3 linked regions of the Saccharomyces cerevisiae S288C genome follow. The gene in region 1 interacts genetically with each later gene. Each region holds a gene or a part of one and is shown in the gene's direction. Other genes may lie near its edges. The genes, in order: SIL1, PRP22 and MSC1.

What was found.
Region 2: mutations in SIL1 (region 1) and PRP22 together harm fitness more than expected from each alone (negative genetic interaction), as found in Saccharomyces cerevisiae (2 studies listed by BioGRID).
Region 3: mutations in SIL1 (region 1) and MSC1 together harm fitness more than expected from each alone (negative genetic interaction), as found in Saccharomyces cerevisiae (2 studies listed by BioGRID).

What each region holds. Positions count from the first base shown.
Region 1 is NC_001147.6:265,648-269,472, reverse strand, and holds SIL1 (Sil1p), read left to right. Parts: upstream 1-1,943; coding exon 1,944-3,209; downstream 3,210-3,825. Other genes in the region: GAS5 (1,3-beta-glucanosyltransferase), read right to left, coding at 1-1,286; OPI10 (Opi10p), read right to left, coding at 3,304-3,825. UniProt on the Saccharomyces cerevisiae protein: Required for protein translocation and folding in the endoplasmic reticulum (ER). Functions as a nucleotide exchange factor for the ER lumenal chaperone KAR2.
Region 2 is NC_001137.3:177,172-180,771, forward strand, and holds the start of PRP22 (DEAH-box ATP-dependent RNA helicase PRP22), read left to right. Parts: upstream 1-1,669; coding exon 1,670-3,600. Other genes in the region: PRE1 (proteasome core particle subunit beta 4), read left to right, coding at 664-1,260.
Region 3 is NC_001145.3:15,077-18,913, reverse strand, and holds MSC1 (double-strand break repair enhancer MSC1), read left to right. Parts: upstream 1-2,237; coding exon 2,238-3,779; downstream 3,780-3,837. Other genes in the region: RSC9 (Rsc9p), read right to left, coding at 105-1,850.

The sequences.
Region 1 (3,825 bases):
GAAGTCGAGGATGATGATTCAGAAGATGAAGAAGCGGAAGATGAAGATGAAGAGGAAGAAGAGGATGAAGAGGAGGTGTCGTCGTCTTCTTCGTCGTCATCGTCCTTAGCATCACAACTTTGTTGGGTGGCGATTCCGGTTCCCATAGGAGAACCTGCTCCAGATGTGAAGTAAGCAGAAGCAGCACTTGGCATAGCAGGCAAAGTGTTATTAGCTTCCCAGACACCCTTTTCATAATCAGGACATGTAGAATAGTTGTTGGAAGTACTGTAACCACCATTGCCTTCTGGGTTGGATACTTTGCTGTATTCATTTTTCAAGTTTTCAAAATCTGTCAATTTAGTGACCTTGTCACCATCAATTTGAACGAGCCCGTAATTGTTAGTTTCATTGGAATATTCGTAGACTAGCCCACCGGAGAATACAGAAGACATTTGAGTGGAATAGATAGCTTCAATTTCTGTGAATGGACGAGAGCTCTTGACTTGGTTACAACCAAATTCACTTAAGAAGACAGGAACGGAGTAATCTTGATATAGCTTCATCTTGGTGGAATAACCCGATACCACAAATGAAGATTCACCACACCAAGAATAGTCATTAACACCAAACATGTCGATTCTAGCGTCAGCTTCATCACCACAGTTAAAGTATTCAGCAGCCAATTGTCTGTTAGCGACGATATCAGCAGCCGAGTAACCTACCGGAATTTGTCTGTATTTTCTAGCCTTGATGTATTTCTTCATGTCCCTGACCACTGCCTTGACATAAGTAGCAGTGTTGGTAGTATTAACACTATTGATGACCTCGTTACCAGCGAAAAAACCTAGAACATTGTCGTAATCAGCAAAGGTATCAATGGTGGCAAAGACATTTTGTAAGTAGTCAGCGTTATAGGAGCAGGCTGGATCGTAACGAGAAATAGCACTCGTGGGGGTATTGACATCCAGGATCAAGTATATACCGTTCTCCTGCAATAGTTTCATACAATGGGAATGATCTTGCGAGTTATCCACAGTATAAACTCTGACAGTATTTATCCCTAGATCTTTCAGAACGGGGACGTCTCTGTCACAGACAGATGCGTCTGCTAAGGGATCAGTCAAGTTAGAAGAACCACCAGGCTGGTAATCAACACCACGGATATAAAACCTTTCACCTGATTCCGAATTAAAAAATGCATTGCCTTTAATTTCAATGGATGGTGTGGAACTGTTACTGCTGCTAGCAGCCTGAGCCAAACCAGCACTTAAAACGAAGGCACTTGTAAGAGAACGTAGTAACATAGCTATTTAGAGCTGTGTGTGTAGCGAGTGATATATAATATGTTTGTTACAGCCCACTGTTTACTTTTATATACGAAATGCAACACTGTCAACAAATCAGTTCAGGGACCTTCCTATTTATAGTATAAGCAAAATAAAAGTGAAAAATTTCCTGCGGAGTTTTTTTTCTCGAGAAATTGTGAACAAAAGAAAGCAAAGACACAGAAGATGATAAGAGAGAGAAACAACGAAGAAAGAACAACAATGTTGGGGTTCACCCGAGAGATATTGACATACTGACCTTAGAAAAGGCATTACTGAGGCTACTGACTAAAGCGCGTTACATAAATGCATAGTATATTTCTTGTTGTATACGCAGCGGCCAACTAGTGGCAGCAAGAATGTAATGAACGATTCATCTGCAGGTTTGGAGGCCGCAACTAGATCAAAACGTAAATAGCGGGTGAAGTGTTCTGGACGTTAGAAGTAACGTCCGCAGATCGAAGCTAAACACGAGATTAGATTTCGGGTAACGGAATTGTGATAATTAAGAAAGACCAGACTATGTGAAAAGGCCACGTAAATGATAGAGCACACATTAGCAACTATAATAGACTAGTTTTCGCATCGCTGGAAGTTCTCGATATTGAATATCACTTCCAAGAACGCAAACTTAGAATGGTCCGGATTCTTCCCATAATTTTGAGCGCCCTATCTTCGAAATTAGTGGCGAGTACAATATTGCATTCATCCATACACTCAGTGCCATCTGGAGGCGAAATCATATCTGCAGAAGATCTTAAAGAACTTGAAATTTCAGGGAATTCGATCTGCGTTGATAATCGTTGCTATCCTAAGATATTTGAACCAAGACACGATTGGCAGCCCATACTGCCAGGTCAAGAACTCCCCGGTGGTTTGGACATTAGAATAAACATGGACACAGGTTTAAAAGAGGCAAAACTAAATGATGAGAAGAATGTCGGTGATAATGGTAGCCATGAGTTAATTGTATCTTCAGAAGACATGAAAGCATCGCCTGGTGACTATGAATTTTCCAGTGATTTCAAAGAAATGAGAAACATCATAGATTCTAACCCGACTTTATCTTCACAGGACATTGCCAGATTGGAGGATAGTTTTGATAGAATAATGGAATTTGCGCATGATTACAAGCACGGCTACAAAATTATTACCCATGAATTCGCCCTCTTGGCCAACCTTAGTCTCAATGAAAATTTGCCGTTAACATTGAGAGAGCTCAGTACTAGAGTCATTACCAGCTGCTTGAGAAACAATCCTCCTGTAGTCGAGTTCATTAATGAAAGTTTTCCAAATTTTAAAAGCAAAATCATGGCCGCTCTGTCAAATTTGAATGATTCTAACCACAGATCCTCTAATATCCTAATAAAAAGATACTTGTCCATTTTAAACGAATTACCTGTCACATCCGAAGATCTTCCTATATACTCTACGGTTGTTTTACAAAATGTATATGAAAGAAACAACAAGGACAAACAGTTACAAATAAAAGTCCTGGAGTTGATCAGCAAAATTTTGAAGGCCGACATGTACGAAAATGACGATACAAATCTAATTTTGTTCAAAAGAAATGCTGAGAATTGGTCGTCAAATCTGCAAGAGTGGGCAAACGAGTTCCAAGAGATGGTCCAGAACAAAAGTATAGATGAACTACATACAAGAACGTTTTTTGACACCCTTTACAACTTGAAGAAAATTTTCAAAAGTGACATCACGATCAACAAAGGGTTTTTGAATTGGTTAGCGCAACAATGTAAAGCCAGGCAATCTAACTTGGACAATGGGCTCCAAGAGAGAGATACTGAACAAGACTCATTTGATAAGAAACTTATCGACAGCAGACACTTGATCTTTGGCAACCCCATGGCTCATAGAATAAAAAATTTCAGAGATGAACTCTGATTTCACTGTCATTGCATATATAGTTTAATATTAATAATATTTTTTTCAATTAATATTTCGTGAATCTTATTAGAGATATATTATATATCCGTGTCTAATTTTTAGTTACTTCATCCAAAAACGTCCCGTCGTTGGCCAGTCTATTTCTAAATTTGTCCCACCATGTATCAAACCTCTTGATGGGCACGTTTCCCTGAGCATCTAGGAACCCTGATAAATAGTTATATGCATGCTGAACGATTTTGGCGGCCAATTCTTGTGTCAATGAAGGGTAAACTTGTGCCAACTGCCCTGCCGTGGTAATATTTCGAATTATTCCTAAGTTAGGTCTTGACAAGATCAATGAGTTGTTCTTTTGTGCTTCGGCATTCATGCTGGCCTTCCACTCTTCTAATTTCATCATTCCTTGTTCTCGAGGCTCAATGGAAATACCAATAATCAATTCTGATATGTTATTACTGCTACTTCCATTGGTGTCAGTAAACGGATCAGCGGCCCCCGAACCATCATCTACATCCATGTCTATCTCACCTAATCCATCACTTGTATCTCCAGCGTCTTTCTTCGAGCTCGGTATTTGCACTTTGAATATGGCACTGGGTTTCTCACTGCTTAG
Region 2 (3,600 bases), on another chromosome or scaffold:
ACTTTTTTGATGGCTACAATCATAATTTGACATACCTCATATGAATATGATGTGGTAGTAAATTAAATAGGCTGAATCCTGATAGTTTGAGCCTGGGTTCTGACTATCCGAGAAGCGCACAGCAACATAACACCACCTTCTTTTAGTCTTTTAGCGAAAAAGTAGGAAGGCTCTGCACTCCATCGTTTTTACCATTCCTACACGTTATAAGGACTCAGACAGGCGGCGTAGTTAAAATAAATTAACACCGAGTCTTGAACATGTAATTTCTTTAGGTTCATTGAAGAGATAATTATAACTTTCCTGCCCACAAGTCCTCTGATTTACATTCGAACGAGGCTCATTAACGTAGTGAAAACTGTTCATAACGCAATCTCTTATGAAAACCATGCGGTGAATTCCTTTTGACAGGTTCTCTATGATACTATCGACGCCTCTCAAATATCAATGCGTATTACTGCATCAGCAAAGCTCCGTCATCTACATCTAGGCCGGGGCATCTTTCGCAGCGAAATCTTTACGGTGGCAAAAAATAAAGAAAAGTGAATATTGAACACCAATTACAAGAAAAGGGAGCACCTGTCAATCGAATAAAAAAGAACAAACTTCGGGCACGTCTTTTAAATAGGTTCATATACAATACTAAGAAAGATATATTAAGAAATGGATATTATTCTGGGCATCCGTGTACAGGATTCTGTCATTCTAGCGTCTTCTAAGGCAGTCACAAGAGGTATTTCTGTTTTAAAAGATTCTGATGATAAAACGAGACAATTATCGCCACATACATTGATGAGTTTTGCCGGTGAAGCTGGTGACACCGTTCAATTCGCCGAGTACATTCAAGCCAATATCCAATTATACTCCATTAGAGAAGATTATGAGCTCTCTCCACAAGCAGTATCTAGTTTTGTTAGGCAAGAATTAGCCAAGTCAATTAGGTCGAGAAGACCATACCAAGTCAACGTATTGATTGGAGGCTATGACAAAAAGAAGAACAAACCGGAACTATATCAAATTGACTACTTGGGTACTAAAGTCGAATTACCCTATGGTGCTCATGGTTACTCGGGGTTTTACACATTCTCTTTACTAGATCATCATTATAGACCTGATATGACTACTGAGGAGGGTTTAGATTTATTAAAACTATGTGTACAAGAGCTTGAAAAAAGAATGCCAATGGACTTCAAGGGCGTCATTGTTAAAATCGTGGATAAAGATGGCATAAGACAAGTAGATGACTTCCAGGCACAGTGAAAGATATTCAGTGTAATCACACGGAAAAGGTGATTGCTAATGATATACTAAAGTAATTATCTTCCTCGTTCATAAAATTAAATAAAGTTATTATAGTTTTTTCATCCGTTATAATAGCAAATGTATCAGAAATAAGACAATTTCTCATTTTTTGTTGGCAGAGTGAGATATCATCTGATCTATTGCAAATGAATCCCAATCAATGCTGATACCGCTTCGTTATAACCAATTCGAAAAGTTGTAATTATGTTACCCGCATGAGAATATTTTGAAGAAGCAATGTAGGGCTACGATAGTACTTTTGAGATGGTTTATTACTTGTTCAAATGCTGTCATCTCATGTTGTTAATGCGCTATATTTCGCACTACGAAGCTAATTTTCAACATAGGTAACACAAAGATATTAGAGATGTCTGATATATCGAAACTCATAGGAGCTATTGTGGGATCTGATGACCCCGTTATCATTGAATTTGTGCTGAATATCATAAATAAATCCGGCAATTTACAAGAGTTTATACGAAATATTCAAAAATTGGATGCCGGTATATCCTACGAAGACAGTATTAAGATGTATAATGCATTTTTAGGAAAGCAGGAAGAAGAAAAGGTACGAAATAAAGTTAAAAGTTCACCGTTAAGTCAAAAAATTAATCAGGTACTGAAAGATGACGTTAATTTGGACGACCCTGTTGTGACTGAATTCGTCCTGAGCATTTTGAATAAATCTAAATCAATAACTGAGTTCCAGGAACAACTGAACTTGATGCAAAGCGGACTCGATAATGAAACAATTTTCAAGATATATCAAATTGCATCACCACCAGTAATGAAAGAAGAAGTCTCAGTTCTTCCAAGCACCAAGATACCAGCAAAGATAGAAGCAAAGATTGAAGAAGAGGTACAAAAAATAGAAAGTTTAGACCCCAGCCCTGTCCTTCACAAAGTTTATGAAGGTAAAGTGAGAAACATAACTACTTTTGGGTGTTTCGTCCAAATTTTTGGGACGCGAATGAAGAATTGTGATGGCTTAGTTCATATTTCAGAAATGTCAGACCAAAGAACATTAGATCCACATGATGTGGTGAGACAAGGCCAACATATCTTTGTCGAAGTGATAAAAATACAAAATAATGGAAAAATATCGCTCTCCATGAAAAATATTGATCAACATAGTGGAGAAATCCGGAAAAGAAATACTGAAAGTGTCGAAGATAGAGGTAGGTCCAACGATGCTCATACAAGCAGAAATATGAAAAACAAAATTAAAAGGCGTGCTTTGACTTCACCAGAAAGATGGGAAATTCGCCAACTAATTGCCAGCGGTGCTGCTTCCATCGATGACTATCCTGAATTGAAGGATGAAATACCCATAAATACTTCCTATTTGACCGCGAAAAGAGATGACGGCAGTATCGTTAACGGTAATACAGAGAAAGTGGACTCAAAATTGGAAGAACAACAACGAGACGAGACGGATGAAATTGATGTCGAGCTGAATACAGATGATGGGCCCAAATTTTTAAAGGATCAGCAAGTCAAGGGGGCCAAGAAATATGAAATGCCTAAAATTACAAAAGTCCCGAGAGGATTTATGAATCGTTCAGCAATCAACGGCTCTAATGCAATACGAGATCATAGAGAAGAAAAGTTAAGGAAAAAAAGAGAGATTGAACAACAGATTAGGAAACAACAGTCGTTTGATGATCCTACGAAAAACAAAAAAGATTCCAGGAACGAAATTCAAATGTTGAAAAACCAGCTGATTGTTACTGAATGGGAAAAAAATAGAATGAATGAATCTATCTCGTATGGCAAAAGAACTTCCTTACCAATCAGTGCACAGCGTCAAACTTTGCCTGTATACGCGATGAGGTCTGAATTGATACAGGCTGTGCGTGACAATCAATTTCTGGTCATTGTTGGTGAGACAGGTTCGGGTAAAACCACTCAAATTACTCAGTATTTAGATGAAGAAGGGTTTAGTAACTATGGGATGATCGGATGTACCCAACCTCGTAGGGTTGCCGCTGTATCCGTTGCTAAAAGAGTGGCTGAAGAAGTTGGCTGCAAAGTTGGCCATGACGTTGGCTATACCATTAGATTTGAAGATGTTACTGGCCCAGATACCAGAATAAAATATATGACTGATGGTATGTTACAGAGAGAGGCGTTGTTAGATCCCGAGATGTCAAAATATTCAGTTATCATGTTAGATGAAGCTCACGAAAGAACTGTGGCAACTGATGTTTTATTTGCGTTGTTAAAGAAAGCGGCTATTAAAAGGCCAGAATTAAAAGTAATAGTTACATCGGCTACTTTGAACTCTGCTAAATTTTC
Region 3 (3,837 bases), on another chromosome or scaffold:
TATATATTTTTTTTATAAAGAATTGTATATCTATATTTATAACACAATAAATCTAATCTCAACTTTTTTCTTTAAAGTTAAGCCCAACCGATTTTTTTTCTCATTCATAACCCCGACGTGTTTTCCATGTATTCAGACAATGCTAATGTTAAAGGTGGAATATCAGCCAATTTATGTAGAACCAGTGGCCTGATGCGTTGACAAAATGCGGAACCAGCACCATCATCCGTGTCGTTGGATAAAAGGCACAAAAACGTACAGGCCACTTTAGAAACATCTGAGAGTTCTTGAGGGAATTTGACCTCTGGTATGCTGTTTTGTCTTGCAGGTGTAATTTCCTTAGAGTCATTCAAAAATTTGGATTTTAGTGCCGAAATGGGTACCTGGGATTCTCTTTCCCCGTCTGCAATACCCAAAGCTTTAAATCTTGGTTGAATGCCCTTGATAACAAACCTTTTCTTGCCGGTTACCGGGTCAGTGATTACGATAGCAGCGGCGTTATTGAAAGCATTCGAGACATTCTTGATGAATTCCACGGCAGGTAACAATTTGCGTCCGGATTCGCGAACAGGCTGACCAAATTTGGATTCGTAGGATCTCCAAAGCGATATTTGTGTAAATTCTGCTTCTTGTACAGGCTCAAAGCAACATCTCAACCAAGCGGTTGACCTCAAGGGCTCGTTAAGTTTGAAAAGTTGTTGAAACAGATCCTCAGATAAATTGGGAGGCTCCTTTGGAGCGGGAGGCTTCAACCTTTTAATCAACCTAATTTTGTGCTTTTGCAAAAGATGGTAATCTGGTGTGGCGATATTATATGATAATAAATTAGGCAGCGTGGCTTCCAGTATCAAAGAGCACTCCTTACTCTTGAATAACTCAGTGATTCTTTGAGAACCGGGCAAAATGTATTGATAGAGGAAATCCAACGAAGCAATAATCAGCTCACTATCGCATTCTAACAGTAAAAAGGAAACGATCAACGAAAGAGTCTTATGGTCCAAATTGTCCGCTGCACTTTCCTCGTTAGCTTTGGACCTAACCAGTAATCTTGAAAGAGACCTCAATATAGAAATAACCATGTATCTGTCCTTAGTGTAGTTCAAGATGGACACCAGCGTTTGGAAATAATGATCATCCTTCATTGCAGGAGCAATATAGGACGAAATGGCCTCCATCAAGTCCAGAGTATAATGGGTCAACTCGTTAAAAAAAGTTGCATTTCCTTCGTACAATTGCCACTTGTTATCGCCTGTAGCGACGCACTGAAACTTCTTCAAAATGAAAAGAATGAAAGATTTGATTTCTCGATCCTTGACTAGTATCTGCACCGAATCAGTATCTTGAGCCAGATTCCTTAGGATCAGCAAGGCATTTAGACCCATTTGTAGAGAATCCATCGCCTTTGAATCACATATAGACGATTTGTTAAGACCTTCCACGATGCGCTCCAAAGGCAATATGAAAGTCTTGAAAAGTGGCAACAGGTCCGGCAATGTCCGTAAGCTGATCATATATGGCGCCTTGTTACTATACGTAAGATATTTTTTTAAAGACCACTTAATCTCCTCCGGTATCCCACTCAGTAACGCCATCTCCATCCTCGTCAAATCGTCTACACCTCTGGCCGTTTCCTTGGGTAGCGACTGGAACACATTAAAATTGGCCAGCGAATAGTGGATGGACTTAGTATTGGCTGCAGGTCCCGTCAGAACTCCATTAGACTGTAATCGAGACACTTTAATAGGGTTAGCCACCATTGTCTCGAACATGTTCACAGGCTCGGAGCTTGTGGCGGGTGCCTCGCTTACTGGAGTACCATTTAGCGGTGTGTTTGAAGCTAACGAGTTCATCTTCAATCTTTATTTCCACTTCTTTACAAGCTTTCTGCCTTTCTCTATGACGTCTTTCCCAAAACACTACCTCTTGACACGACTTGTTGTTTTCGTTTTTCTCTAAGAATATCACTATTTTCACTTTTTTCACCTTTTCCACCATTACGTCGGTAAGCAACAGCATTACGCCGGCCTCACCTTAGAGGGGAAGAATAAGGGATCTTTGGAACTGAAGGAAAATAAGGGAGAGGGAGGAAACAAGGAGGCGGTGAAAGGGGATCGACAGGGTATTTAAAGCCACTCATGGAGTCGTATTCCTAGCATGATTAGATTACCGGAGTTTAGAAGAGGATCTGCAATAGAAGAGGAGACAACTACAAAAGAACTGTTAATTAAGAGAAGAAGATGAAGCAATTCAAGTTGGTTAATGCGGTTTCCGCATCATTTGTGCTTATTGGCTTAGTGTTGGCCAATTCAGATTCAGTGTTCGACAAGTGGACGCAGGAAGACCTGGCCGATTATTTACGTGATAATAAGAAGAGCTTGGAAAAGTACGCTACAGACTCCATTGAGGACTTGAAAACGGAGGCATCGCAGGTATGGGACAAACACGCGCAGCCCAAACCATGGTGGCAGGTGTGGTCTAGTGACAGCAGTAGCGTGAGCAACAGTAACCCCGGATGGTTTGGTTATACTGGTTCTTCGGATCACCCAGTTTCTGACTGGCTCTTTGACACCTGGTCCACAGACAGTCTACGTAACTTCTTGAAGAAAAACGGCGTGGATGTTGACGACGCTAAGGCTTCCAAGGACTCGCTGGTGAAGACTGCTAAGGAGAACTTCAACAAGATTTCCAAATCTTTGAAGTCGTCGGGATACTATCCTTCTAGCTCTTACTTTGATAGCTGGTCAACCAAAGATTTGCAAAACTGGTTGAATGACAATGGTATCGACTACGACAAGGCAGTTCAAAGCAAGGACGAGCTAGTTCAGAAAGTCAAGGAAAACATCTACCGAACTTCAGAAAAGGCAGAACAGCAGCGTCTGGGTTTGCTAGAAAGCTTGGATTTGGCTCACCAACAAATATTAGACACATCGGGACAAATAAAAGACACTGTATTTGACAAGTGGTCTAGTGATCAGTTAACCAATTGGTTGGAGAGCCACAAGGTCAATATTGACAAGAACATGGCCAAGAAACACGACTATTTGGTTAGAATGGCCAAAGAAAATTCTGCCAATTTGAAAGATGATATCTACTGGTACCTGGACTATATGAAAAGAGAGTCTTCTCCATTTTTGACCAAGACCCCAGAATACGTTGGTTCCGTTTGGGACTCTTCTAAAAATTTCCTCACAAATTTGTACTCCAAGTTCAGAGGTAAGACTGACAATGTGATCAATGATACTTTTTTGGTTGGCCTAGACTCTTGGCCAAAGGACAAATTGAAAATGTTTTTAGATGCTCGTGGTATTAAGTACTCAATGCTGTCTACTGAACATCAATTGAGAGAATTAGTCAAAAAATCCAGAAACGAAAAACTCAAGATCCTGCCAAAAGACTACCAAAAATACTTTGACAACAGTAACTGGTCTTTGGATGACATAAAGGGTTGGTTTGCTGACAAAAAGGACGACTTCCAAGATTCTCAGACTTACTCCACAATTATGCAGGATTTTGACAAGGTTTCCAAAAACACAAATGATGCTAAGGACCAAATCGCTAAGACCTGGTCAAATACCTTTCAGAGCTGGTCTCAAGAAGACCTATTGCAGTACCTAAAATCATTCGGTGTTCCGGTTAAACAGACTTCTACGAAGGACGACTTAATCAACTTGGCCAAGCAGAATACGCAATGGTTGTTCGGCACTGTTAAGGAGCCTGCTTACAAGAGGTACCTACATAACGTTAAAAACTGGTCGAAAAGCATATTAGGGTTCAACTAATGATTGGGGTGTCAACGTAATGTACTTTTCTCCCCAATTTTTCTTTTCATCCGTATAT